Mytilus edulis: one gene and its partner. The protein of the gene in region 2 interacts with the protein of the main gene of each other region in a pairwise test. Links are inferred from orthologs where the notes say so. Each region holds a gene or a part of one and is shown on either strand. Other genes may lie near its edges.

What was found.
Region 1: the proteins of E3 ubiquitin-protein ligase SMURF2-like (region 2) and spartin-like interact in a two-hybrid assay, tested with the Homo sapiens proteins (2 studies listed by BioGRID and IntAct). The link is inferred for Mytilus edulis from reciprocal best matches to the Homo sapiens genes SMURF2 and SPART.

The regions. Positions count from the first base shown.
Region 1 is NC_092351.1:1,233,924-1,250,168, forward strand, and holds the start of spartin-like, read right to left. Parts: upstream 7,183-16,245; 5' UTR 7,040-7,182; intron 1-7,039. UniProt on the Homo sapiens protein: Lipophagy receptor that plays an important role in lipid droplet (LD) turnover in motor neurons.
Region 2 is NC_092352.1:15,164,055-15,180,677, reverse strand, and holds the start of E3 ubiquitin-protein ligase SMURF2-like, read right to left. Parts: upstream 8,249-16,623; 5' UTR 8,124-8,248; coding exon 8,066-8,123; intron 5,075-8,065; coding exon 5,036-5,074; intron 4,098-5,035; coding exon 3,989-4,097; intron 1-3,988. UniProt on the Homo sapiens protein: E3 ubiquitin-protein ligase which accepts ubiquitin from an E2 ubiquitin-conjugating enzyme in the form of a thioester and then directly transfers the ubiquitin to targeted substrates.

The DNA of each region.
Region 1 (16,245 bases), on a different chromosome or scaffold from region 2:
TATGAAAATTAAACGAGCCAAATTAATTTTAGTGAAAGTGTTGGGTACCACCTTAAGACGCTCAAATTAAATATTAAAAATCTATCAAATATGCCATAAACATGATAAAATGTCACTTTTCAGATGGCCTTTGTCAAAAATGAAAGAGCTAGGCCACATCCTTGTTCACTCTTAAATGCTTAACCTTTATATATGTTATGTATTATCATCAAATACAACTCACATTTAAATATATATTTAAAAGAATTTATAAGCACAAATGTGGTCACTTCCATTTAAGATGGAAACTGTCTAAAATTTAACTAAAATTTTAAAATTGTGAAAATTGAAGTAATTTAGCATGACTTTATGATGCTAGTACCCTAAAAATGTGCATTGTATTGTCAAAAAAGCCCATATTTATGTAACAGAAGTTTTCTACTCTTTCCAATAAATAGTTAACATGATTAAAGGTTGACATTTTAAATAATTTTGTAAAACTGCTTTATTTTGAGACCAAAAAGGGGTCTTACTGGACCTACATTTGTACTCCTTTGCAATGTTTTTACTTTACTTTTCACCCTAATTCTGGAGCCTCAGACCAATTTCATAAGTGATTTCCTTTGCAATACCAAAAAATTTGTAATTCTTCCTGGAATGCTGGACAGGCTGTTCATCTAGCTGTTAAATTAAATGACCCATTAAGTGAATGACATCACTTGACATCTTTGGTGTCAAATACACTAGTGTTAAATAACACCAATTACCTTTACTAGCTTTAGGTCATATATATATGATCTATGAGACTATGTATTTCAAAGTTGTTTTACAAACAATTTGAATTACTTCCCCTTTATTGTGTAGCGGGAGGGGGTCAGTGACGACACCTCCAGGGACGTGGAGTATCACTATTTGACCATCTGGATACCTGATATCCGATTATGGCAACAGACAATGACAGACAATAAATCAAATGAAAACTATATATTACATGTATTTACAAATGTACAATAATTGCATGTACAAAATGATGTATTTTACAAGGTTGGATGAAACAAGAGTATAAACTTTCTAAAATGAATATGATGAAGTTAAAAACTAAAGTAATTTAAATGTAAAATGAAACCAGGTGCTCCGCAGGGCGCAGCTTTATACGACCGCAGAGGTCGAACCCTGAACAGTTGGGGCAAGTATGGACAAAACATTCTAGCGTGATACAGCTCTGAATTTGGATTGTGATCAAATTTTTGACATTACATGGGTTTTTTTTACACAAAACAAATGTCAAGATTTTACAAATTTTACAATAAAAGATTTCTTCTTCAAACTTTTTAAATCTAAAATTAAATAGTTGGCACAGCATAGGTTTCTGACACAGAATGAATGTGGTCTAATGAACTTAAAAGTTTGTTTTTGCCTTTTAGCAATTCACTATGCTGTTGAATATTAATCCTCTCAAAAAAATGTTTGAAGAAATTTTCTTTTTATTTATGAAATCTGAAATGAGAAAAATTTAACCCCCCCCCCCCTTTTTTTCACATCCCCGTTTCCTTTTTTCCAAAACTGATATTATCAATTCAAATTTCTAATGGAGTTTGCAGCAATAACTACTCTTTTAAATACATCATAAAATATTAAAATGTAAAATAAAGTGCTTGTTATCACTGAATGGTAAAGATTGGTTGGTAGTAAAAGTGAATATACATTGTTTATTGTATAAAACAATAAAAAAAACTTCATCAGCAACATTTTATATTGGCAAATTTCCAATGAAGTTATTTACATAAAGTAATGGGCAAATAAAAATAGAAAATGACATCATAGTCATGTCTGGCAAATGTCCAACATACATTATCTAAAAACATTTTAGATAAGATAAGGAAATAAGATGTAAAAAAACTGCTTGTTATCACTGAATGGTAAAGATTATTTTAATTTATCAGTTGGTAGTAAAAAGTGAATATACATTGTATATTGTATATAACAAAGATTTAAGTTGATTCTGGACAAAGAAAGATAACTCCAATTAAAAAAAAATCTTGCTATTGCACAATATTTTGCAATTAGATATTTCTTGCTTACTATTCTGGACAAAGAAAGATAACTCTAATTAAAAAAAAAATTGCTATTTCACAATATTGTGCAATTGGATATTTCTTGCCATTGCGCAATACTGTGCAATTGAAAAGACTTGCTATTGCACAATACTTAATATAATAATTTTAGATCCTGATTTGGACCAACTTGAAAACTGGGCCCATAATAAAAAATCTAAGTACATTTTTGGATTCAGCATATCAAAGAACCCCAAGATTTCAATTTTTGTTAAAATCAGACTAAGTTTAATTTTGGACCCTTTGGACTTTAGTGTAGACCAATTTGAAAACAGTACCAAAAATGAAGAATCTACATACACAGTTAGATTTGGTATATCAAAGAACCCCATTTATTCAATTTTTGATGAAATCAAACAAAGTTTAATTTTGGACCCCGATTTGGACCAACTTGAAAACTGGGCCAATAATCAAGAATCTAAGTACATTTTTAGATTCAGCATATCAAAGAACCTAACTGATTGATTTTTTGTCAAAATCAAACTAAGTTTAATTTTGGACCCTTTGGACCTTAATGTAGACCAATTTGAAAACAGACCAAAAGTTAAGAATCTACATACACAGTCATGACAGTTAGATTCGGCATATCAAAGAACCCCAATTATTCAATTTTGATGAAATCAAACAAAGTTTAATTTTGGACCCTTTGGGCCCCTTATTCTGTTGGGACCAAAACTCCCAAAATCAAACCCAACCTTCCTTTTATGGTCATAAACCTTGTGTTTAAATTTCATAGATTTCTATTTACTTATACTAACGTTATGGTGCGCAAACCAAGAAAAATGCTTATTTGGGTCCCTTTTTGGCCCCTAATTCCTAAACTGTTGGGACCTAAACTCCCAAAATCAATACCAACCTTCCTTTTGTAGTCATTAACATTGTGTTTAAATTTCATTGATTTCTATTTACTTAAACTAATGTTATTGTGCGAAAACCAAGAATAATGCTTATTTGGGCCCTTTTTTGGCCCCTAATTCCTAAACTGTTGAGACCAAAACTCCCAAAATCAATCCCAACCGTTCTTTTGTGGTCATAAACCTTGTGTCAAAATTTCATAGATTTCTATTAACTTAAACTAAAGTTATAGTGCGAAAACCAAGAAAATGCTTATTTGGGCCCTTTTTGGCCCCTAATTCCTAAAATGTTGGGACCAAAACTCCCAAAATCAATACCAACCTTCCTTTTGTGGTCATAAACCTTGTGTTAAAATTTCATAGATTTCCATTCACTTTTACTAAAGTTAGAGTGCGAAAACTAAAAGTATTCGGACGCCGGACGACGACGACGACGACGACGCCGACGCCAACGTGATAGCAATATACGACGAAAATTTTTTCAAAATTTGCGGTCGTATAAAAAAAGTACATGTATTTCCAGAGTTAGTCTTAAATAAAGTATTAAATGCACTTTGTTTTTAAAGAAGTAAAATAATTAACTTGCACCAAAAAATCAGTGACTAACTGTGGCGCACTTCCATGACTGCACCTGAAGTGATGGCTAAATCTGTTCTTGAGTGGGATGAATTTCACCAGGGTGAGGTTTGGACATGTTGGAGGCTGATGCAAGTCAGACTCTGACTGAATATCAATTAAATTCCTAATCTTTTCATGTCTCACGATAACTTTAACTGAATAGGTACTGAAGAAAAGTGGAATAAATGAATATTCTTAAAACATAATATAAACATCAAAAAGTTAAATACTAAAACAAAAATTAACAATCCTTATTTTTATCTTACTTTATCTAAATCAAATCAAACTAAAGTTAAAATTAACATTTTATACAATAGAGGCTTTAAAGAGCCTGTGTCGCTCACCTTGATCTATGTGAATATTTAACAAAGGAAGCATATGGATTCATGAGCAAAACGTGTTTTGGCGATGGTGATGTGTTTGTACATCTTACTTTACTGAACATTCTTGCTGCTTACAATTATCTCTATCTTAAATGAACTTGGCCTAGTAGTTTCAGTGGAAAATGTTAGTAAAAATTTACAAATTTTATGAAAATTGTTAAAAATTTACTATTAAGGACAATAACTCCTTAGGGGGTCGATTGACCATTTCGGTCATGTTGACTTATTTGTAAATCTTACTTTGCTGAACATTATTCCTGTTTACAGTTTATCTCTATCTATAATAATATTTTTCAAGATAATAACCAAAAACAGCAAAATTTCCTTAAAATTACCAATTCAGGGGCAGCAACCCAACAAAGAGTTGTCCGATTCATCTGAAAATTTCAGGGCAGATAGATCTTGACCTGATAAACACTTTTACCCCTTGTCAGATTTGCTCTAAATGCTTCGGTTTTTGAGTTATAAGCCAAAAACTGCATTTTAGCCCTATGTTCTATTTTTAGCCATGGTGGCCATTTTGGTTAGATGGCTGGGTCATAATGGCCATCTTGGTTGGTTGGCCAGGTCACGCCACATATTTTTTAAACTAGATACACCAATGATGATTGTGGCCAAGTTTAGTTTAATTTGACCCAGTAGTTTCAGAGGAGAAGATTTTTGTAAAATTTAACGACGACGGACGCCAAGTGATGGGAAAAGCTCACTTGGCCCTTTTGGCCAGGTGAGCTAATAAAAATTAGACAACTTTCGAGTTTGATGCATTTCTGTCAAAAACTGGGGTTTTAGTGAACATCATTCATGGGTTTTAAGGGGTATCGTCACTTCCGTTCCAATGTTGAGCAAGTGGTTGGAAAACTATGATGCTATATAGCACAAATTATTCCCTTTTATCATGTTTATGAAGGGTACATATCAAGTGATAAAATGTATCTTTGACTTATTAGTAAAAGTGAGCACATATTTATATTATTTGAAGAAACTTTTCCCACTGAACCATACATCTAGACTATCTAGTATTATATGGTCAAAACTGAATTTAAACATGTCCAAGAATTTTGTAATATTCAGGCCACACCAATTTAATTTCTTGTTCTACGGATTTTTGGACTCCAAAATTTGGTGCGAGCGAGCGATTTGAAAATTTTAATAAAAAAATATTCAATTTGCAAATTTTTAAGGCGAAGCTTGAAAAGTAAAGGCGAGCGATTATAATTTTTTTTTTGTAAATATAAAATAATAGGTTTTGACAATATTAAAACTTGATTTATCACTTGTACTTTGATTTCTGAAGTATTTTTTCCCTGTTCACCAAGAAATAATTAAATCTGGTCTATGTATGTGTGACGGACAATGAGACAATTCTCCATCCAAATCATAATCAGTTTGGGGGCAACACCTTAATGTTATAAATATCCCTTTCACATGTTTTATGAGGGATCAATATAAGTTATAATATATTTGTTTGTACAAAAGGGCTCATATTTTCTCATAGAACTATATATCTATCTGGTATTAAATCGTCAAAACATGTCCAAGAATTTAGCAATATTCCTGGACTTTAACCATGTTAACACATTTACTTTAACAGTTTAATATTATTCAAAATAAGTGGACCCCTCTTTTAGAATTTTTTTTTAAAAATATGATGTAACTCTCCTCTTTTTGAGTACAAAATTCTAAGTGTTCAAAGGTTTTGCATAGAAGAACTATACAAATCCTTGGTATTTCTATTTTCTTTTCTACATCAGTAAAATGACCCCTTGTCTGAGGGAGGGTTGTTCTCAACCTGATAATAACAAACACAGGTCAAAGTACGGCCTTTTACACAGGGCTTGATACAGACCAAACAGCAAGCTATAAAGGACCCTAAAATTATTAGCGTACACAATTGGAACAGGAAAACCAACGATCTAATTTATATATCCAAACGGGAAAATACCAATGAACAACATCAACAAACGATAACTGCTGAACGACATGCTCCTGAATCAATCAGGACAGGTTCATAAACATGCAGCGGCTATGGATAGTTTTGTTTCGCCAGCATACAATATAATTGCAGTTGAAGGCAAATCCTACAGAAGTTCTTTGTACTTTATTCTAACAACGAACATTTTTTGATGGGGAATATAAGTAAGGGGGAAAGAAAAAAATTTTTGTTCTTCACGGAAATACCCGCTGTTATAACTTTTTATCGGAGCATTCCAGGTTTCATGCTGAAACAAATATTCTCACAGATATTTACACAGTGTGGTGGGGTGCTTTTATGTTTAAAATCGTTATATACAGGTTAGACTGTGATTTAACAAATGTTGATATCTTTTTATAATATTTACAAAAAAAAAAACGGTGCGGGAAATGGACATGATTACAATTCCGGATGCGGGAAGCAGGAATATAAAAAAAATCTGTTTTGAAAAAAAATAGGTGCGGGCGGGTCCGTCGAACAAGGGATCAAATTGGTGTGGCCTCATAGGCTTATATCTTCTTTATAATAAAAATAGTTGGACCCCTCTTTTAGAACTCAAAAGAAGTATTGTTCCAAATATAATGTATTTCTCCCCTTTTAAGATAAAAAAAAGTCTGTTCATTCTTCTTTGAAATACAACAGTAAAATGACCGCTGGTCTGAGTAGAGACATATAATATATATGTATAAATTCATATCTCTGGTCTGAGGGACAGTTTCTCGTTAAGGTATATCCCTCATTTGCCATTGGGGGGTTGTCAATTAAAAACGCTCACTTCAATTATTACCTGTGGGGAAGTTCTCAAACCTGTTTCCCAACTTAGTTTATTTTGGCACCTTCTGGAGGAATGAAAAAAAGTGTACTGCAAAATCCTGGTAAGTTTTCATTTTTCTTACACATAAAAGTAAACATATTTGAAATTCATTATCTAGGGCATGCTATGTCTGAAATTTTTTACAGATGTGCAGGTTTGTCTGTACTTGGAGTAAATTTTGAGGTGAAAATACGGTCATTAAATTAGCCACATGAACCTGAATTTATATGAAACTCTTGGCAGGTAAACCTTTTCAACAAACATTATTTTAATCATTTATAGACTGAAGATGGTATTTGACTTACAAGATAACAATGTTCTTGACACACTGAAGAATGTCTCACTATCAAACTACTGTCTTGTGATATGACGTGAATGTAAATAAAATGTGTAAAAGTCAGGAGACCTCTAATGTGATGTCAACAAAAGTTGGAAAACCCCTTTTCCCAATTTTGGGCTAGATAACCAAAAGAACAGGATTCTGCATGGTGCATAAAACATAAGGGAGCTACCATTTGATTTTTATGGGGGGGCTAGGATGAAAAATTTTGTCCTGCATTTTTTTTTAGTTGTAATCTCTGTCCTGCCTTTTTATTTTTCACTCTTTTCGGTCCTTCTTCTTTTTTTTTTTAGTTTATCCTGACTTTTTTTACATAAATTGTCATCCTGACTTTTTTTTTTTGCAAGTGTCTCATCCTGCCTTTTTTTTTTACTCAAAACTCCAGTCCTGCCTATTTTTTTCAAATTTCATCCTAGCCCCCCCATAAAAATCAAATGGTAGCTCCCTAAGAAGAAAACAAGATCCTGTTCAGATTGTTAACCGTGGGAACCATTTGAAATACAACTAAAGATTTATATAAAAATATTTAAAATTAAATACCTCAAAGAACAAATTAAATCACATCTCATCAAATCAAATAAGTTTACAGCTGTTATTTACAACTAATACAAATACAAAACATAAATAAAGACCAATATACGTGGACATACACAACTTAGCCCGTGCATGCTGAGCTAAACAAATATTTATATTTAGCATAGACACTAGTAATTATTCAATTTTTTCAAGTAGACTTAGTCCATGCAACATATTGGTGTTAGAAAGAACGTATTCATTTTTAGAATGTCTTGAAGAGACTACATTTGATATTTCTAGTAAACATAATAAGGAATCAAAAACGCCGGAAGATCAACATCAATTGAGAAGAGCGAGTATGGTGTCATTAGTGATAAAGGAGAAACCCTTGATTTATTAGCTTCCTTGTTAGTAGCAGCAGCTACACTCTATCAAGAGAATCATGATAGGAAATACAACCCAGGAATATCGTAGCATCTTGGAGATATTTACATTGTATGGAGAAGCTGCATGCTGAAAATCCAGGATGTTGCTACATAGAAATGGAAAGTTCACAATTGGGAAGCTGAAATGGAAAGTTCACATATTGGGAACCTAAAATCATTTTATAGAATATAAAAAAGAGGTGAAAGATAGATACCATAGGAACATTAAAACTCACAATTCAAAAATAAACTGACAACCCCGTAGGTTAAAAAAGAAAGAAAAAAAACAGTAAGGGAGCTACCATTTGATTTTTATGTGGGGGCTAGGATGAAAAATTTTGTCCTGCATTTTTTTTAGTTGTAATCTCTGTCCTGCCTTTTTATTTTTCACTCTATTCGGTCCTGCCTTTTTTTTTATTAGTTTATCCTGACTCTTTTTACCTAAATTGTCATCCTGCCTTTTTTTTTGGCAAAGTGTCTCATCCTGCCTTTTTTTTTTTTACTCAAAACTCCTGTCCTGCCTATTTTTTTCAAATTTCATCCTAGCCCCCCCCTCCCCCATAAAAATCAAATGGTAGCTCCCTAACAGACAAACAAAAGTAAACAAGCAAAAGTTATAAACTTTCTTGTCGCTTATCATTTTCGGTTATTTCTTTTTGTTGTCCTGGAGGAGACCTCTGTGGACTAAGATGTCTGACTACAGTATCACTAGCCAGTTAACATTGAGATTGTGCAGGGGCGGATCCAGACATTTTAATAAGGGGTTGGGGGGTCCCAACCCAGGACAAAAGGGGGGGGTCTAACTATATGACCCCTTTCAAATGCATTGATAGGTAAAAAAAAAAGGGGGGTCCAACCCCCAGAACACCCCTGGATCCGTTAAGGTTGTGAGCTCAAATACCGGCGCACGTGGAAGGCGCGCTCGACTCAAAATCTAATATGACTAGGATCGTTAGTTTTCCTACAAAAGGTCGGGCCTTCTTCCTCCACCAATAAACACTGACCTTACGAAATAAAACATTCTTTCACCTAAACTTAATGTTCCTATTGTTTTCATATTATTATAAATTAAAAAAAAAAAATATGTAAAAATTAAAATTAAAAAAAATGTAAATAACATTAATAAATATTAATGTGTATACCATGTACGGGAATATGTCAGACCCCTTCTACGATTTGCATATTTGTAGAAGTCAGATATGTCTATCCAAAAGTATATGATACTTACAGTTTTCATGTTTAAAAAACAAACACACCTACCTACCAAATCATTTAATATTTATAAACAAAGAAGGCTTAAAATTGAAAGGCACTTTGGTTATTTTCATTTACCAGTTTAGAAGTGGTATTAGGCTATTCAGAGTAAAATTTGTGGCCAGTATTGTATGCCAAATCATATCTATGCAGGCAGTATTAGGTGATCAGGCACGATTAAGAACTAGATATTTATATGAATCTATATTGTATAGAGCAAGTTGGAATGCTAAAGTACTAGTTAGTACAGAAGCACTTAAAGAGTGCACATTTTGGCTACAAAATATATGTAGTTTAAACGAGACAGGATCTCAATTGTGTCAGTTGACATTTAATGAAGATCAAGATTATCACTTGTTCTGTGATGCATCTGGCAAGGGTTTTGGCGGTCATTTGACCGCAGGTTCAAAGGACGAACCGTTGGAAATGTTTGGAAGTTGGTCAGTAAATGAACAAAACAAAAGCTCAACTTGGCGAGAGCTAGTAGCAGTAAAGAGAGTATTACACAATTTTACAAATTTAATAAAGGATAAAATCATTAGGGTATACACAGATAACAAAAACGTAACGCACATACTCAGAGTCGGAAGTCGAAAAGCATCACTACATGAAAATGTGATGCAAATACATGAAATTTGTAAGAATCAATCAATTAAATTAAGTTCTGTTTGGATTCCACGTGAACAAAACACACACGCTGACATGTTAAGTAGACGGTCAGATTGTGATGATTGGGAGGTACAGGACGAAATATTTACATATCTAGATCACTTGTGGGGTCCGCACAACGCCGATAGGTTTGCACATGACTACAACACCAAGTGTAAGCATTTCAATTCAAAATATTGGTGTCCAGGAACATCAGGTATTGACGCTTTCACGGTTGATTGGAAAGGTAAAAATAATTGGCTTGTACCACCACCAAATTTGATTCCTAAAGTGTTAAACAAATTAAAACAAGAAAAATGCAATGCTACTTTAGTTATACCAGAGTGGACCTCTGCACCGTACTGGCCTATGTTAATAGATGAGAAAGGGAACATGAAAGTTTTCATAGTTGCACACATTTTCTTTCAGGGAGAAAACTTGACCAAGGAAGGCCGCGGTCAAAGCGGAATATTTGGACAACAATTTCTGAAATTTAGATTGATTGGTTTAAGATTACAATTTTAGATCAAAATATTTATGATTATTCTTTTTTTAACAGGGACAAAATTAGATCGTACAGTAAAGGAGGCCATTAGAAATAGCGGCATCGATGGTGACAGTTATCTTTATGGGCTTTATCCAAAAATGTGCGAACTTTTAATAAACAGCAGAAGTGACAACACAGTCAAATCTTATTTTAATGCTTTTAAAAGATGGGAACGTTTCATATCTCTCCATGGACATGTTGCTTTACCAGCTCAACCAGTGCACGTCGCACTTTACCTTACAGACTTAGTTAACAACGGTTCCACTTAATATCATCCGGTGTATAATGCAATATATGGTATAAAATGGGCACACGAAATCAACAGTTTAAAAGATCCTACCACAAACACTTTTGTTACTTCAATACTAGAAGCGTCTAAAAGAGTTGCGCCAAAGAAGACTAACAAGAAAGATCCAGTAACTACAGACGTTTTGATAGAACTTTGTGATAATTTTAAAGATTGTTCTGATCTACTTGTGTTAAGAGATTTGACTATGATGCTACTTTGTTTTGCAGGTTTCCTTAGATACGATGAACTTAGATCTTTGCGTTTCCTTGACATTGATATACAAGATTCTTTTCTGATTTTACATATAACTAAGAGCAAAACTGACCAATACAGGCAAAGCAATGAGGTTATAATAGCAAAAGGTTCTACAATCGCATGTCCCTATAATATGTTAGTTAAATACACACGTTTGGCTGGTTTTAGTAGTCATGAGAATAAATTTTTATTTCGTCCTATCTACAGGTCAGGAGAGTTGTGTAAATTGATAAATAAGGATAAGAAACTCAGTTACACGGCGGCTAGGGAGTGTCTTCTTAAGAGAATTAGAATTATTCGTCCTGGTTGTAACATAGGTCTGCACTCGTTCAGATCAGGTGGTGCCACAGTGGCTGCTAACGCAGACGTTAGCGACAGGTGTTTGAAAAAACACGGCAGATGGAAATCTGACTCGAGTAAAGATGGTTATATCGTAGACTCCATAGAAAAACGTTTGAAAATTTCTCAAGTTTTAGGTTTATAGTTTCATATTTGGGATCGTGTACCCTTTCTTTGTATATTTCTATCACGTTCGACGGGCTGTCGGCAAATTTATATTTGTGTTTTAGTTATATTTAGTCATGGAGTAGAGGTAATACTTGTATTTTCCCGCGGTTCGTATAGTAAAGCGGGAAAATATTGTATTGTCGTTACGTTTTCATAAATATTCATAAGGCATGACAAAATTGACCAATCAGAAGTTGAATTTTGTCTTTCGATATATTGGTGTTTTTCAAGCGCTTCACTTTCTAGCCGTCGTTCAACATAGTAAGCTCCTTTATTTTTAATTGCTGATTGCAATTAAAGTTTTTTTTTTTCTGATTTTCTATTTGTATATGTATTTGCTAATTAAAGGTGTGGTCCGCCACTTTTATCCGGAGATAGGCTCGAGCATTGGCACGGATACAGGTTTCCATTCATATTCATATATCATGTGAACGATTGTTGGTTTTTCCTGGACGGCCTTGACTATCTATGAAGGGTAACATTCAGAAATTTAAGCGAATACACTGTGGATACATTGATATTTGAAATATTGTATATATGTTTTAATATTTGTTAAAATGTGTACTGCTGGAAATTATTTGAGATACAAATTAAATACGGCGTCTATCACGTTCGACGGGCTGTCGGCAAATTTATATTTGTGTTTTAGTTATATTTAGTCATGGAGTAGAGGTAATACTTACTGTGGTATTGTGTATGACACAAGACTTACAATCTCTTTTATATGATATTATTTAAGGAGGCTCGAGGGTATAAAAATTTCAGAAAAAAATCAAACATTTGTTTTTCATTACAAATTTTATTTATTTCCTTTTGTAATTGTTACTTTATCACATGGTACAAAAATCTTTCAAAACAATCAATTCGTGTTGGCCCCAGATGACTTTTAAAATGAATACATCATTGAAAAAGTTTCAAATTATCTCCCTTTGGTGGAAAAATGCCATTTTTTTGGCTTTAAAATTGAATATCTTTTTCAACTCATCGGTGACCTATCTTTTTTAATATAATTTCCATATAAGCTGTACTTCAACTAAATTATTGTAAAATTTGAGCGATTTCTGTAATAAATTTCTTTTTTTATTTCGATATTTACCTTTATTTCTCCTATTACTTCAACAGAAAAAAAACACCTTTACAAAAATGTATGCTTCTTTCGAAGGCAGATTGTGAGCGCAAATGAACGGTGACCCCACTTTTTTATTTTATTTTTCTATTAACTATAAGATAAAGTTCATTTATAGAAAAATATAGAGAAATCCTATATAAATGATTTAGACCCACGAACCCCCTTAATACATGTAGTTAAGTTTTGGCAAAATTGGAGATCTGTTGTATGACTGTAATAATTAAATATGTATAATAGACATCTATTCCGAAAAATCAAAAAGTGTTATCTTTTAAATTTAGTACATATGTACTCAATTATCATGATTATGGATCAAATTTAAGATTTTTAAAATGGCAAGACAAACATTTTGTACATGTAAATGCGGGCCGATGATGTTTAAGTAAAATAAAAGACCAATACTACATGTACTAATCAAAGTAAAGAATAACCTATACACTTCATGCACAGTATATGCAATAATTATTTTGTTTAATTGTAATGAGACAATTTTTTTTTATATTTCAGAACTGGTGAAACAAAAGAAAATTGTTTTCTGATAGGACTGAAGAATGGACACATTCAATCAGACTTGGAGTAAGTAGTTTTATATGAAAGAAATACTTATGAATGCTTTTTAAGTAACTTTTGCACATATTGGACTTACATTTTGAAAAAAATCAAAAGTTGTAAAACCATCTGTAATATTTTTTTGATATAAACATGGTATATATCTTTAAAATTAGCAAATTGAAAACAGGGGTTACAGCCCACAGGTCTTATTTTATTGAGAAAATCCCCAAAACAGGTCATAGTAAATTCATTATAATTATCTGCCCTTGATTTTACAAGGATTTTTTTCTTAAAATATAATTACTCTTTAAAACATGCTTAACATCTTATTTTTCATAGTTTAATCTTATAATTTCAAGTTTTAGATGTTTCTGTTGTACAATGTATATTGAATGATATATGGTAAAAATAGTAAATTCAAGTCAATATGTCAAAATGAAGGAAAACCCCACCTACTTAGGCAGCTCACAATTTACCTGTATAACATAGAGAAATTTGTCAAATTCCTTTTAGTTAAACAATAATGCATGGTAATTTTAATTTATGTTCTCTTTTTTTCAGGTTATGTTACTGCTTGGTGCACAAAACACAACAGATCCATGCAAGATGGTCATATCAATTATGCTGTTACAGAGCAAATCAGTTATGCACGAAATAAATTCAGGAACTTGTGATAATAATTTATATTCAATTTAACTGAAAATGAAGAAATTGTGAAGAACTAAAAAAGTCAAAATTATACATACATGTATAGTAATTTGTAGTTGCTTAAATAAATTCGATCAAGTATGATAACATTTTTTGCATTTTATTGTATGAAGGCCTAGTTTTTCTTCGCAAGAAGGCATGGCAGTGGTAAAAACCTGAATCTTTGGAATGAAAAAATTCTTTCATTGAAGACAGAATTTTTTCATATTCTTAAGGCGGATTTTTTTTCATATTCTAAGGCGGATTTTTTTTCGAAGGCGGATATATTTTCCGTTTCATTAGGTGGATATATTTTCGTCTTTTTAGGCGGATATATTTTCCGTCTCTTTAGGCAGATATATTTTTGAGAAGAACATTTTTCCTTTTAATTAGACGGAAATTTTTCCTCCTAAGACAGGCGGATAAATTTGCATATTTCGGCTCTATTCCGCCCGTAACCCGCCTGGAATCCATGTAAGAAAGATTCTTCGTGTAAAAGTGGACTTAAAACGGATTCCCTCTAAAATATCCGCCTGGAATCCGACTAAAATACGCCTGGATTTTTTCGTACAGGTAAGTTACAAATAACGGAATAATAAGCTCACATATATTTTTCTTCGTAATATAAATTAACCAATAGATAATCAAGATAATTAAAATACACACTATAGGTCAGATTTAAATAACAAGATTAATTAAATTTAAGGGGGGAAAAAAAACCTCACAAAATTTCTATAATATGAATATATAATATAGGCTGTTACACCTAAATAATAAAAAATTTAAAACATTTACTTGAAATGTTTTTATATAAGGTAACCTGGCGCAATACCCGCAAGGGTAGTCGCCATTAAATTCTATTTAGTAGTTTGAGAGAGTGAAAACATGCATTCAGTGTCATTGTTTTGTTATTTTCTTGCAATAACTCATATGACTTTTTTTAATCTACGAACAACTATTCAAAATATTGTCAAAATAAGAAAAATATATTGACTATATATTTGATGTTACAAAAAAAACCCAAGTGTTATACATTAGAATAGAATAGAATATTATATTTGTAACATTATATATGTTATAGAAGCCTATGATGTAACCTGAAAAAAAAATACAAATAATTATTATTATATACACCAACCAGAAGATCAAACTATAAAGACCTTGTCACGTTGAAAAACAGATAACGTAACTTTAATAAATCAGCATTGGATTGAATTAAGTGATTACGAGTGGCATTACCTTAGTTCACAATCACCAGACAAGTTGAATAAACAAACCAATTATAGAATAATGATTTGATTAAATAAGTCATTATGATGCGTTAAATTTTATAGGTGGTCCATTGGACTGTAAATATTTATTTAGCTATTCTGTGTGTGAACTGAATCAAATAAAAATCGCCATGAAATTCAAAGTAAAAGTTATCATGGAAAATAACTTTATAATTTAATAAAGGGCTGCGCTTTAGCGCATGATACGCCTGTTGCTCTTTTAACTTGTCTTTTATGCTTTAAATGAAGTTATATGATCAACTAGAAATAGTGTGAGCCCTGTCAAATACCCCCCCCCCCCCCAAATAATAAATAAAAATGCACAAAAAAATTGGCACTATTAAGGCTACCTCAAATTTAACTAAGTTGTTGTCTTTAATTTTTCATCCATACATAAAATTTTGTGAAAGTGTTAGTTATTGTCCCAAAATTGGAAAAATCCCCCCTTTTTTAAGCATAAAAATTCATAACACGGAAATGTAAAATCTGAAATTTATAGGGAGCTTACATCAATAGATATAAACAATTCACCAAAGTTTCATGGACATTGGTGAAAGCCTTTTTGAGTTATTGTCCGAAGTGTTAAAAATCACCCTTTTTTTTATGAATAAAGCCCCATAAATCCAAAACTTAAAATCTGAAATTTATAAAAATTGAAAGGGAGCTTACATCAATAGATATAAACAATTCACCAAAGTTTCATGGACATTGGTGAAAGCCTTTTTGAGTTATTGTCCGAAGTGTTAAAAATCCCCCCTTTTTTTATGAATAAAGCCCCATAAATCCAAAACTTAAAATCTGAAATTAAAAAAAAAACGAAAGGGAGCTTACATCAATAGATATAAACAATTCACCAAAGTTTCATGGACATTGGTGAAAGCCTTTTTGAGTTATTGTCCGAAGTGTTGAAAATCCCCCCTTTTTTATGAATAAAGCCCCATAAATCCAAAACTTAAAATCTGAAATTAAAAAAAAACGAAAGGGAGCTTACATCAATAGATATAAACAATTCACCAAAGTTTCATGGACATTGGTGAAAGCCTTTTTGAGTAATGGTCCGAAGTGTTGAAAATCCCCCCTTTTTTATGAAT
Region 2 (16,623 bases):
AAAATACAGTTGACTCTTATAAACTTAAAATCTTTGTCAGAAAGGTTCTAAATTTACAATACTCATTCAGGTAAAAATGCAGATACATCACTATTGTTCACAATGTAAGAGCGGGTGATCCTCCTTTTTAGTAATTTTAGTAAAACAGCAACCTTTTATTTTTACCAATTTCAAAAATACCAATAGAAGTCCTAAAATAGGACAGTAAATCATAAAGCATGGCTGTTGAATGTTGTTAGATGATCATGAAGTAGATAATTCATTATACTTATATCATATAATTATATTGTTTATTGGGCCAAGAAAAACAACTCTGTTTTGATTTTACTTCCATTGTACATCTAATTAAAAATTATATACGGTTGCTGAGATTAAATATTTTTCTCCTAAGTTAGGTCAGTGCCCTGTTTTATAAACAAAAGTATTCCTCTACCTGGATACAGAATTGTTTTGTTATTTATTTGTTAAATCATATATAAATAATCTTTGTAGTACTTAAATATTTTTTTCTTAAATATTATATTATTTTGGTGGCCCTGTGTTTGATCACAAAGAAATGACTTGGTAAACAATCTATTTCTATGACTTTGGTATCATTTTCTCAATATCTTGCAAAATATGCTTTAAAAAAATTTGACGTCTATGTTTTACCAAGGATTTTTCATAATATATATATATATATATATCAGTTTTATGACATAATATGATATGTTAAAGTAAACTGCTTTGTTGTGTCTCTCAATTTTAACAGGTCTTCTTCCTTTTTCTTTTTAAGTAGTCAGAAGCGTTTTATTTTTGGCTTAGCCTAATTTACTTTATTATTTTATTTTTTTTTATTTTTAATTAACTGAAAGCAAGAGAAAACAGTAGAAACCATAATTACATTGTACAATGTTGTACTAAATAAACTAATGCATCTAACCTATGGTTTTTCCCTCAACATTAAAAAAATAAAATATTTCAAAAAATTTTAAATAATCAATTATTAAACTGCAAATTTCCTTTTTTCTTTTGATTTAATAATCAATAAATATCTGGAACGAAAATATCACAAGAAAAGCTTCACATTCTTTAATGAATATTACAATTATAATTTTAATAATAAATAAGTAACCTCACTAGCCAACTGTCAGATCATCCTAATATGAAACACATCATAAACTTCATGTTATTATAATGTCTCATTAATCACATAGCATAACTATTTTCCATACATGTAGAAAACATTAAAATAAAATGCTTAACATCAGTCCTTTTACTTAAAACCATTTAATTCATAATGTAACACTTGTGTATTTACAGAATTTAAGCTCATTTAAATGTGTTACAATAATTTCAAACAAATTGACTGCCTTTGATCATGTTACACTAACTTTACATGTATATATTAGAACACAAGTTTTCCTAACCTTGACTTTACATGTAGATATTTGAACATAAATTTTCCTACACTTGAATAGATTTGATGATTTCCTGTGTATTCTTTAGAAAGTTTTGAAATATACATTGACACCAAGTTTCATATTTTATTCTTATATTCCTCCTAAACTTAACCTAAATATGAAAAATGTAAATTTGAAGTAATGATGTTGGTTATTTATATAAGTCCTAAAATTAAATATTTTTTAAAATGTCTCCAATTTGAAGAACTTAACGTTGAATTTGTGAACTTGAATCAGACCATTTATATTTCTAACATTTCCATTTGAAGTCATGAAATTACATTAAGTATAGAAAATTACACAAATTACACAAAATAGTCTAACATTTAACTCGGCCAGCTGAGAAGTTACATGTATATACAACATATCCCTTTGCCTAAAAAATCTTAATATTACATGAATACAGTTAACTCTGTGACTATCTAGTTGCAAGTAAACAAATTGCTTTTCTTTTTAAACTTGTGCTCTGTGTTAATTTTTAACATCATGTCAATATTACATTGGAACATCAAGTCATGGCATGGTCTTGGTGGGGGTAGAGTAGTATAAGTAGTGAAATTACTGTCTGCATGTCAACAGTAAGGTTGTGAATGAAATCTGCACATGGTAGGTGCGCATGACTACAATCTTAATTGTCTAGGATTGACAGTTTTTCTACAGTTGCTCTCTATACATGTAGCTTCCTCAACCATCAAGGGGCCTGGTGGCCAAGTGGTTTACATAGTCAAACTATTGTATCAATAGCCTCTTCCTCAACCATCAAGGGGCCTGGTGGCCAAGTGGTTTACATAGTCAAACTATTGTATCAATAGCCTCTTCCTCAACCATCAAGGGGCCTGGTGGCCAAGTGGTTTACATAGTCAAACTATTGTATCAATAGCCTCTTCCTCAACCATCAAGGGGCCTGGTGGCCAAGTGGTTTACATAGTCAAACTATTGTATCAATAGCCTGTCAACACAGAGATTGTGATATTTATTCCAGCATAGAGCAGGTGCCATTGACTCCAATTTCTAATGACTAGGATTGTCAGTATTCCTAATCAGAGTCAGTGGTTCTCTTTGAAGTACGCTGGCCTCCTCCACCAATCAAATTGACTGACACCAAATAGCACAATAGTGTAAACAGTGGTGTTGAACACAAATCAATCAATCCATGGCAATATTTTCATATAATTACTTATTCAAATGAAAACTTGTATTTTGTAAACAAAACCAAAATAAGCCACAAGACAATCAATCATTCCATTTGAACATATATGGCTATTGCTGAGAATCAGTCTGATGTTACACAAATTCTGGTTGTAAATATGTATACATGTACTTCACTTACAATGAAAAAATTAGTAAAAATTTAAATTTGAACATCAGGACACAATTGTCATGGTGTAATGTGAGGTTACATACATGTATGGTTGTTTTTATCACTTGCATGCTGCTTCTATATTTTTGAAGTAATGTTTTTTATATATAAATGCAATTGTTACATCCCTATTTTGTAAAATGAACCCTAGTAATGATATTCACTGTAATCCTTCAAGCATCAAATGTAGTTCTATTATGGCTAAATTATTCTTAAGCTGTAGTACTCAGTAAAAGAATAGTAATTAAAGAGCATCATACATTTTGAGAAAACAAGTTCATCACAAACTAATAACAACCCTGTGCTGACATATGAAAATCAAGATCACAATAATATTCTCATTATTAAAGAGTGGAGCTTAAACTACCAACTTTTAATTATATAAGCAGCATGTTAGTTTTGTAGGTAGAAATAAGTGCCAATGAGATAATTCTCCATCCAGTCACAATGAAAGTATGTGTAAATAGTAAATAATAATAGGTCAAAGCATGGCCTTCAACACCGAGCTTTGGCTTTCATCAAATGGTAAGCTATTTTTTCCATTTGTAAAGGGGCATAACTATTAAACATAAAAAGTAACACTACCTTAATTCAAACATGATCTGTGTTTTAAATTTTTGTGATAATACATGTAAGGGTAGTGTATAAGTTTCACAACATTTGGTTGAGGCGAACTAAAGTAAGAAAATGAAACCTGTTTTGAGACAGACGGACAAGGGTAAAACTTTTGCCACCTTCATTACAACAGGGGCATAGAAACGATAAACACTTTTGAACGAAATCCAAAAAACACAACCACTGAACAACAGGTTCCTGACATGATCCACTTTAGGATTAAGAGGAATACATGTACTGAATTTGATATCAACATGAATATGTTGATGGTGAGATTTACGGTAGTCTAGAATATTTTAAGAAGTCAAGAAGATTTTAGGAAGTCTAGAAGATTTTAGGAAGTTTAGAATATTTATGATCTCCTAATGAGGTAGACATTAAAAGTAATTTCAACATGGCCTACAACTTTATATAAGAAGCACAATATATTTGCATAATTTACATTGTTTTTTTACATATTACTTAGAACATGTATATTTAAGAAGAACAAAATATGATTAGTATATATGCAATTCTAAAACTATCAAAAAGCAGGAAATATGCAAAAATCTTTTAAAAAACCCAAACTTACAGGTCATAATGTTGGTTCCATTTTGGATCCAAGGTATTTTTACTGGTATCAGTAGAATGACACTGGCCGGAACCATCCACACTAATTTTAGCAAAGGGATCAGGTAGGCCTGAAATTCAAAATTAATACATTAGTTGATGTGAACAGTTTTTGTTTTTAAACAATTCCTATGATTATTTACATGTAGTCATATCAAAATAAGTTGTCAAATCTTATGCTCTTGTGTCCTACATCATACATGTGTAATTAACTATGAAAGCATTATAACATATTTGGATATTGAATTCAAGAAATGTATGGAATGATGAAATAATGAACTGTTTTTACAAAGATATGTCTGGTCTTTTTGTAATTTTCGATTATGCAAAACTTGTGGTTCACCATAAACTAGACGGTATCACAAACTGATACATTGTTGATGCCCCCTGCCGGAAATAGAATACCTATGCCTCGCTTTTTGGTTCCGTCAAGGCGAGACAAAAACAAAATTTATTGTTAGGTACATTGTACATCAAAATATAGGCATGTAGTCTTATTCTTTATACTGGGAGTGGGAATAGTCTGCCCTTTCATTTGCATGTGAATATAAGCAACTCTTATTCTCATTACCAACTGATAGCATTACATGTTCGTATAAAAAACAAGAGTTACTATTGCATGTATTGTGACAGCATACACATTACAACTCAATGCTGTCAAGATGCTGCCTTAAACCAAATATGAAGCATTTCTATTTATGTAAAGAATTCTCCATATAAGTATGACAACATTTTGCCATATAAAATTTCCTTACATTTATTTTTCCCATTCACAAAATTTAGTGTTGAAATGGAACAGAAGTACCTATGTCATTTGAAAATCCTTTCGTAAATGCCAAAGTGATGAGCACTATAGAAAGGCTAAATCAAAGGTTTATTTTGTGTTTATCCTCTTTTGTTTTCCATATATTCTACTGACATTTTTACACAGTGTACATGTAATGGTTGATGCATGTATGTAACGAATCTGCCAAATGCGAAAAGAAAGTATTTGGACTGGTATACTTACGGAAGAAGTCTTTCTTGGCTAAGTTCTTGGCACATAGAACTAAAATAGAAAAAAAAAATTATTGTATGATGTGTGTACAAGTACATATAAATATACAAGAGACTTTTCCACTCACTGACCATACTCATCATGACACGGTACAATGCAGTATAATTTTTAATACCAAAACCCAAAACACCCACAATTTCCACATACATGTATGTGAATGGTTGGAAATGATCAATAATATGTTAATCAGAGTGGCTGTTTGTACACCTAGCCGGACAAATAGTGCTAGGACTATTTGTACGGTAATTGCAATGCGCATGTCACTTTATGTGCTTGCATAACTTATGATAAGTGCATGTAATATTATCTTCAGCAGCACCATGGGGTTGCGTGTACTCCGAACACTGATTTTCAATTGTGAGATAATGGTTGAAAACGGCGATATAAAAAATTGTGATAAATTTTCCAGTTTTTAGAATTTGACAAGCAGATACATTCGATAGTATGAACTTCAAAGAATGATCCAATTTTATAAAACGGACTAAAAAGTAATTGAAATCACAAAGAAAGGGGGTCAATCATTCTGTTTGACAGCTTCAGACATACTAATTTTGTACCTTTTTCAACTAGACCAAATCCTTTTGTTAACTTAATATGCCTATCAGGACCCAAGTTTGTTTTACAAGTTATTTCTTCCCTCTTCTTACAATGTGAAGGCATAGATAAAGAAATGAATATACAAATTATGATACATATGATTTTTTTTTTCTAATTACACGTTGTCCACATTCAACTTCATATGAAACTAACAAGATTTGGCACGACAATTTAAGATGGCAAACCATTGCTTATTAAATGTTTATATATATAATTTGTGACCCCCTGGTGCGGCTGAAGGTAATATTACAAGCACACACAATATTAACATGCGCATTGTATTGGCCGGACAAATAGCAACTGCCTTTGTTAATTTGTGTGATATTATATCGAAAATGCCATTAACATAAAATGTAACAGAGCTCTTGCTAAAAAATAATTATAAACTTTAACCATTATTGATAGCACAGACCCTGCCCAGACTGTGACACATGTACATGTACAGCACTTCAAGTATCTTCTAACCCATTTGCAAAGACAAAACAAAATTAATAAGACAATGCTACATTTTATAATATAAAGAATCATATTTTTTTTAAATGATTAAGGTACATTCCCATGAAAAATCCAGATTATCCTCATAATAGTATTTCCTCTCATGTCCAAATTTGAAATATTTCCTGTCAAATGTGTATCTTCCTCTTTCATTTGTCTTTCTTTTAACAAATCATAACCTAGTTAATTCTTAATACAGAGATGCATAAAGTTAAAAGTCCATGAATTCAAGAAATATGTATATATGACATGTTTGGTTGAACATGTCTATTGGAATAAAGATTGGAAGTCCGAAGTGGCAATATACTGGAAGTAAAATTACCATACATGTACAATAGTGAATACAGACTTATGTTTTGTGTAATGAATACTATCTATTGTTTTTACAGCAGTAAAACCAATTAAAAGATATATCTATTTCAGGAGTAAATACTTATAATTCATATAAATTTTAATTTGAAAGTTATTATTTCAGGAATTGATAATTAAAGTTTATGTAGAATTTTATGCATCAGATCCAGGAAATCAAATATTCCCAGAAATGTTTGGGATTGACCCTACATAGTACATATATTATACAAAATGTAAATTGTAGCTGTATTGTTAGCAATTATACCACATCTTTTTCATACATTATATATAATCATGATAATAAATTATCTATTGAAAATGTTAAAATTTGGTCAAAGATATTTTGATAATATAAATTATAAATCAATTATTAAATGTATATACTAATCACAAAATCAAGATTATTGAAAATAATTTTTGTTTCATCTATCATAATTTTCATTTAAAAAAATAACTTAATAAATAACCCTTTTAACATCTCCATGTTAATGAAGATAATCATGACTTAATTCTCCGATTAAAATGGACTATCAATTTGAACTTAATACATATATATAAATACAAACTTTTGAGGTGTACATGTACGTACGGTACTCTGCATTTATAAATCTGCATCCTTAGGAAGTTCTTCAACAATTTGCAAATAATATATATGATAAACATGTACACAAGAATTACATGAGGATATGAATGTTTTTGAATGCATAACTAATAAACTCTTTACTCGTATACATTTGTAAAAAGGCTAACTATGCGATTCCATGTTACCTTGTCACAAAAAAATATGTCTGGACTCATTTTTTTCAAAACTTGTATGGCCAAATGATATATCATAGGAACACTATGCCAGTAAAGCAATACTAATGTTTCCCATAATTTAAGTGCTTTCATAGCCGGCAAGACAAAAAATTGAAAAACCTATTAGAATAAGTATTCAAATATGGAGCATGCTGTCTGATTATTCTATCATGTCTATTGTTGATTTCAGGATCAGGATTTTCAAGGTGATTCTCAACAATACATTTGGTTAGTAAGACGATGTCTCAACAAACTACCCAACAACATGACTCATGTGAATGACAATAATTACCTTCAAGAGATTTAATAAAATCTTATGCATATGGGTAATCACAATGTCAAAAAGAGGTATCCAACAAAAGCAATGCCAATGAGACATCTTCAGAAAAACGCTTTTCACAATCATCCTTTGTGTTTAAAGAGAAAGTAAAAGTGGTTTTCAGTCCTGGCCTTACTTGTTGTCATTTATAAAGTTTTTCATTGATGATGGTAATGTACATCATTTTAAGAGTGGTCTCAACAATTGACGCCGTCAAATTATAATATATCAGAATTTACATATATATAGGCCTTAATTCTTTCTTAAAATAGTTGGTACACTCAACGATACCGCTGTAATGATGATATTAATTGCTACTGGATTCCTCAAGGCAGCCATTTTTCTTTGGAGTACAATGGGTCATCGACAAATACCGTTTGGTTTCGATCTTATAGGCGAGTTATTTGTGTAATAAGGTGTACCTGTTAAACGAATTTTCATAGTAGATGTTCCATGACGCCTAGATCCGTTACTAGCCATTGCTAGATATCGAGATCATGATATATTTTCTGTCATTTTCATCCCCATTCATTTAAACAGAAAGCAAAATATTGTATGCAAATGAGTCTGAAACTGACAACTTCCGGTAGCGACAAAGAGGCCATTAAAAGGATTACTGTCGCCAAAGATAAGCGGGGTAATGGTAGGGGGAATTAGTAAGTCTTGCGTCCGGTATTTAACTAAAACAACTGTTTCATTAAGTGGTATTATGTAAATTGTATTCAAATTAAATTATGCCAGAAATTATGATACTTTTAGTTACAACTTATCTGGTTTTATAACTTAAAATGACATATTTATATTTGAAATAAAGTGACCTTTATTTTTTTCAGAGACAAAATGTAATGTAAATTGTAATTCACGGTCTGAAGTGACAAATACATAAAAAAATTATCGAAAAATTCTATTTCTTTTCTTATTAAAACTAGTTAAAATTATCGACAGTATTTTTACAATATTTGACACTTACACCCTGTTTCAACCACAGTCACTAATATTTGTAACTATTTTTATATATATCTTAGTGTTAAGGTATAAGGGACATTTTTTCTGAGACAAGTGCCTGTAGTTTGACTGACTGACCCTGCGGATCCTCCCTCTCCTAGTCTTTTTTCTACTTTTATCGGAGTTATCGGCGTATACATTACTGATCCAAACTTCACATGATAGAACTTGAATTTGGTGCCTGATATATTAAGTGCTGACAATATCATCTTAAATACCATTAATGAGATATAATTGCTGTGAATGACGTATTGATGCTTGGTTATCTGTATAAAGTACGATGAGGACAGTTAGTGACAGCTGTCAAGTCCACGGTCCATGCTAGAGTACAACCCTCTGCTTGGTGTCTGCTCCTCATCAAAACCATTATTTACTTTATATATATACATTGTCCAGCAAATTTATCAATTTACCGTGAGGGGGAAAAGACAATAAAATTCTAATAACATTGTTTATAAGCTAGATTAAGAGGACATTTCCACATCTCTGGGGTCACGTTGTGATATATAAAGAACTAAAAAGGAATTTACCAACATAATTGCTCATTTTACTAAAATAGATTGTAAAAACAACAAGATTTAGTTAAAATTTTAAAATTTCATCTTTTTCCTAAACTTTCTACTTGAGTCTCTTGGTGTAAGATTTTTTATTTACCGTTTAATTGCATGTTGACTGATGCTTTGCTTTAACTGACTGTTCATCTTTTTACCATAGCACGCGGTAAATGACTGTTTATCTTTTTACCATGGCACTAGAGTCACGATATGACTGTAATCTTTTCACCACGGCACACGGGCGTTTGACTGAACTTTTTACTATAACACATGGTATATTACTGTTCACCTTTTTACCTAGGCACTAGAGTAATTGGCTGTTCATCTTTTCACCGTGACACACGGTATCTGACTGAACTTCTTTTCACTATAGCACACGTTATATATCTATTTATATTTTCACCATGGCACACGGTATCTGCCCATATGACTTTTCATCCTTGTACCATGGCACTACAGTAATTGGCAGTTCATCTTTTCATCATGGCACACGGTATCTGCCCATACATCTTTTCACCATAACACATGGTATATTACTGTTCATCTTTTAACCATGACACACGTTATCTGCCTGTACATCTTTTTACCATAGTACACGGTATATTACTGTTCATCTTTTTACCATGGCACTAGAGTAATTGACTGTTCATCTTTTCATCATGGCACACGGTATCTGCCCATACATCTTTTCACCATAGCACATGGTACAAATGTATATTACTGTTCATCTTTTAACCATGACACACGTTATCTGCCTGTACATCTTTTTACCATAGTACACGGTATATGACTGTTCATCTTTTTACCATGGCACAGCCACTAGAGTAATTGACTGTTCATCTTTTCACCATGATACACGATATCTGCCTGTACACCTTTCACCATAACATACGGTATATGACTGTTCATCTTTGTACCATGGCGCAAGAGTAATTGGCTGCTCATCTTTTCATCATGACAACGTGACGGTATCTGCCTTTACATCTTTTTATCATAGTACACGGTATATGACTATCTTTGTACCATGGCACATGGTATCTGCCTATACATCTTTTTATCATAGTACACGATATATGACTATCTTTGTACCATGGCACACGGTATCTGCCTTTACATCTTTTTATCATAGTACACGGTATATGACTATCTTTGTACCATGGCACACGGTATCTGCCTATACATCTTTTTATCATAGTACACGATATATGACTATCTTTGTACCATGGCACACGGTATCTGCCTTTACATCTTTTTATCATAGTACAGGATATATGACTATCTTTGTACCATGGCACACGGTATCTGCCTATACATCTTTTTATCATAGTACACGATATATGACTATCTTTGTACCATGGCACACGGTATCTGCCTTTACATCTTTTTATCATAGTACAGGATATATGACTATCTTTGTACCATGGCACACGGTATCTGCCTATACATCTTTTTATCATAGTACACGGTATATGACTATCTTTGTACCATGGCACACGGTAACTGCCTATACATCTTTTTATCATAGTACACGGTATATGACTATCTTTGTACCATGGCACACGGTATCTGCCTATACATCTTTTTATCATAGTACACGGTATATGACTATCTTTGTACCATGGCACACGGTATCTTCCTATACATCTTTTTATCATAGTACACGATATATGACTATCTTTGTACCATGGCACACGGTAACTGCCTATACATCTTTTTATCATAGTACAGGATATATGACTATCTTTGTACCATGGCACACGGTAACTGCCTATACATCTTTTTATCATAGTACAGGATATATGACTATCTTTGTACCATGGCACACGGTAACTGCCTATACATCTTTTTATCATAGTACAGGATATATGACTATCTTTGTACCATGGCACACGGTAACTGCCTATACATCTTTTTATCATAGTACACGGTATATGACTATCTTTGTACCATGGCACACGGTATCTTCCTATACATCTTTTTATCATAGTACAGGATATATGACTATCTTTGTACCATGGCACACGGTAACTGCCTATACATCTTTTTATCATAGTACAGGATATATGACTATCTTTGTACCATGGCACACGGTAACTGCCTATACATCTTTTTATCATAGTACAGGATATATGACTATCTTTGTACCATGGCACACGGTAACTGCCTATACATCTTTTTATCATAGTACAGGATATATGACTATCTTTGTACCATGGCACACGGTAACTGCCTATACATCTTTTTATCATAGTACACGGTATATGACTATCTTTGTACCATGGCACACGGTATCTTCCTATACATCTTTTTATCATAGTACAGGATATATGACTATCTTTGTACCATGGCACACGGTATCTTCCTATACATCTTTTTATCATAGTACACGATATATGACTATCTTTGTACCATGGCACACGGTAACTGCCTATACATCTTTTTATCATAGTACAGGATATATGACTATCTTTGTACCATGGCACACGGTATCTTCCTATACATCTTTTTATCATAGTACAGGATATATGACTATCTTTGTACCATGGCACACGGTATCTGCCTATACATCTTTTTATCATAGTACAGGATATATGACTATCTTTGTACCATGGCACACGGTAACTGCCTATACATCTTTTTATTATAGTACAGGATATATGACTATCTTTGTACCATGGCACACGGTATCTGCCTATACATCTTTTTATCATAGTACACGATATATGACTATCTTTGTACCATGGCACACGGTATCTTCCTATACATCTTTTTATCATAGTACACGATATATGACTATCTTTGTACCATGGCACACGGGTATATGACTATCTTTGTACCATGGCACACGGTAACTGCCTATACATCTTTTTATCATAGTACACGGTATATGACTATCTTTGTACCATGGCACACGGTATCTTCCTATACATCTTTTTATCATAGTACAGGATATATGACTATCTTTGTACCATGGCACACGGTATCTGCCTATACATCTTTTTATCATAGTACAGGATATATGACTATCTTTGTACCATGGCACACGGTAACTGCCTATACATCTTTTTATCATAGTACACGGTATATGACTATCTTTGTACCATGGCACACGGTATCTTCCTATACATCTTTTTATCATAGTACAGGATATATGACTATCTTTGTACCATGGCACACGGTAACTGCCTATACATCTTTTTATCATAGTACAGGATATATGACTATCTTTGTACCATGGCACACGGTATCTGCCTATACATCTTTTTATCATAGTACACGATATATGACTATCTTTGTACCATGGCTCACGGTATCTTCCTGTTCATCTTTTTACCATCTATGACACTAGGGTGTATAACTGTTAATCTTTTCACAATAGCACATAGTATCAGACTACATCTATACACTGTGTCACATAATATATATGCAAGCCGTATGTTTCAGTTGTTCAGTAACAGAGCTGTATTACAAAAGGAGACGTAGATGTAACAATTTAAAAAAAATAGATTAAGAAAGGTTGCAAAACGAGACAATTTCGACGTGAAACACAATTTATGCTTGATACGGACTTCTGGCTTGTTTCACTCACTTCAATTTCACGTGAATTTAAATTCCGGTCCCCCCTTTCGTGAGAAAAATGTGGTTGATTATATAGGGAATAACTGAAGCATGACTGGAGCGCCCCCCTTTTAGGTCAGTCAGCGGGCCCCCCTTATGAAAAGTTCTGGATCCGCCACTGCATGAAATCAGTTTATGTGAATTTTCACATGAACCTCATGTGAATCTCACTTGAATTTCATGTCATGTTAATGATTCTAATAACATCTAAAATTCAAATTAAAATAAAATCATGAAAAGTAAACGTGAAAATCATGTGAAAAATTTCTCGTGAGAATCGTGTGAATCTCAATTCACGTGAAATTCACATGAACATTTTCACGTGAGTTTTATGTACAAGCACGTTTGAGGTTAATCTTACGTGGAATTTGTCACTTGAATTTCATGTGAGATTCATGTGAACAAATTTTGCCTGTGTAGTACTGGTAAGGCTGCATGGAATATCCCAAAATATTGTTTGTGTTAAATTGGACGAAATCTAAATCATCGACCACTCACGAAATCTATTCGGTATCTTTCGGATATGGAAAATCAAATTGCGAAATGGTTGTAAAAGTTTCTACTCCAACAACAACAACAAAAAACAATTGAAATCTATTTGTACAATTTGTATCGTATGGTAACATGGTACAGTTGCATTTAGGTAGTGAGCTACATTGGCTTTTCTCGTTGACAGTTCCACAGTTAACAAGAAAAAACTTTGCAATTTATAAATGAAAATGGTGTTGAAAGGAGAATGATTAAAACATATAATGTTATCGATACAAAATAAAAAATAAAATTGAGAATGGAAATGGGGAATGTGCCAAAGAGACAACAACCCGACAATAGAAAAAAACAACAGCAGAAGGTCACCAACAGGTCTTCAATGTAGCGAGAAATTCCCGCACCCGGAGGCGTCCTTCAGCTGGCCCCTAAAGTCTAGTTGTGGTATGATTTCCAATGTGGCAACTCTCCACAAGAGATCATAATGACTCCGAAATTAACAACTATAGGTCCCCGTTCGGCCTTCAACAATGAGCAAAGCCCATATCGCATGGTCAGCTATAAAAAAGGCCCCGAAATGACAATAAAAAACAAGAAAACTAAAGGCCTTATTTATGTAAACCAACTTAAATTTCTTAGAACCAAATTAGATCGTGTCCTAATTTCCCCCGCTTTGTAGTTGATATTTCCTGGCAATCATTTCGGTCAAATCACTTTTAAATACCTACTTAGTTTGTTAAGTGTATAATTGATCATTAAATATGCAAGGAATATTTGACACGTCAAACTGATACACACAATTATTTATCTTTTCTATACGACACTTACAATGCCCTTTTAGAGCTGAAGAGTTGTTGTTTCCTTCGCCTCTATTGAATCTATCATGTTAAGTTATATGTTTTTTTTTTTACAACCATTCAAAGCATAGGCCTATATGTCTCTGTTCTGTTATACTGGTAAGCAGATCATTAATGTGAACACAATAGACTGTCGGTGTGCATTGAATCTCTTGCTTTATATTCTTAAAAGAAGATATTATAAAATACGATTCAGTCAAAACATTTCAAACTGATCGCAAGATTATTTTTTTTTAACAAAATTGAGTCCTGCAATGTTTGTTTCGAGTTACTCATGAGATTAAGATGGTAACGGATAAGCACTACTGACCCCTGACACCATGGTGAAATCACTGTAATAAGATGCAAATAAGAGTTACATTTAAACGAGAAACAACAATTTTATAGAATATTACATTTAACCAAGACCTAGCCAAGGAATATCACATTTAACCAAGGACCAACCACGGAATATTACTACGAATAATGTCAACGTAAAAAAAAAGAAGTTAGATGACGGACACTTAAGTATTGATTACACTTTAAACTGGGCCTTTAGATCATAAAATACAGTTCAATATTCTCCAAATTCCATTTACAAATGCTACACTACCACTGGGTCGATGCCACTGCTGGTGGACGTTTCGCCCCGAGGGTATCACCAGTCCAGTAGTCAGCACTTCGAAGTGAACGTGAATATCAATCAGTATGAATTTTTCGAAAAACTAAGGATTTTCTGATCCCAGGCATAGCCTTTACCTTAGCCGTATTTGGCACACTTTTTTGGAATTTTTGGTACTCAATGCTCTTCTACTTTGTACTTGTTTGGCTTTATAACTATTTTGATCTGAGCGTCACTGATGAGTCTTATGTAGACGAAACACGCGTCTGGCGTATTTAATTAGAAAAACCTATAAGCCTGATACCTTTGATAACTATTGGTCAAACGATGTGTGTTTTTGTTGTTGGTGATACAAATATTACAAACATGAAAACATATCAAGAACACATTGACCAGTGAACAATTTAGACTAGCAAAGTATTGGAATTTCAATTTGTACAAGAAGGATTCTGGATCCTACCGAATTCTAAATTGTTCTGCAACATATACGTCTATGTAGGTGCTATTACAACAAACATTCCCTCATGAGGTATGCTGGGCAAAACAGATCTGCAATTCTGAAGAGTCTGAAAATACTATTTTTCATTTAAGGCATAATCTGTTATCGGTCTGTCATTTTGTAACGCTCTAAGGCTTGTCTATTGGCTTGTACACCTGTGGTAATTTTCTTGTGTTAGCCTCTTTGCGTGTAAACCTATGGTCATGTTCTCGTTAGTCTCTTGGCTTGTACACCTACGTGTATGTTCTCGTCGCTTGAATTGTACACGTATGGTCATGTTCTCGTTAGTCTCTTGGCTTGTACACCTACGTGTATGTTCTCGTCGCTTGAATTGTACACGTATGGTCATGTTCTCGTTAGTCTCTTGGCTTGTACACCTACGTGTATGTTCTCATCGCTTGGATTGTACACGTATGGTTATGTTCTTGTAAGTCTCTTGGCTTGTACACCTACGTGTATGTTCTCGTCGCTTGGATTGTACTCGTATGGTTATGTTCTTGTTAGTCTCTTGGCTTGTACACCTACGTGTATGTTCTCATCGCTTGGATTGTACACGTATGGTTATGTTCTTGTAAGTCTCTTGGCTTGTACACCTACGTGTATGTTCTCGTCGCTTGGATTGTACTCGTATGGTTATGTTCTTGTAAGTCTCTTGGCTTGTACACCTACGTGTATGTTCTCGTCGCTTGGATTGTACACGTATGGTTATGTTCTTGTAAGTCTCTTGGCTTGTACACCTACGTGTATGTTCTCGTCACTTGGATTGTACACGTATGGTCATGTTCTTGTAAGTCTCTTTGCTTGTACACCTACGTGTATGTTCTCGTCGCTTGAATTGTACACGTATGGTCATGTTCTTGTTAGTCTCTTGGCTTGTACACCTACGTGTATGTTCTCGTCGCTTGGATTGTACACGTATGGTCATGTTCTTGTTAGTCTCTTGGCTTGTACACCTACGTGTATGTTCTCGTCGCTTGGATTGTACACGTATGGTCATGTTCTTGTTAGTCTCTTGGCTTGTACACCTACGTGTATGTTCTCGTCGCTTGGATTGTACACGTATGGTCATGTTCTTGTTAGTCTCTTGGCTTGTACACCTACGCGTATGTTCTCGTCGCTTGGATTGTACACGTATGGTTATGTTCTTGTAAGTCTCTATGAATGTACAGCCATGATCATGCATGTTTTTGCAAGTCTTTTGTGTTTGTTCGCCTATGGCCATGTACTTGTAAGTGTCTTGGCTTATACACGTATGGTAATGTTCTTTTAAGTTTCATGGATTTTACACCTAATGTCATGTTTTCCTAACCCTTGGATTTTACACCTACGTTTGTTCTTGTCGCTTGGCTTGTACATCTAT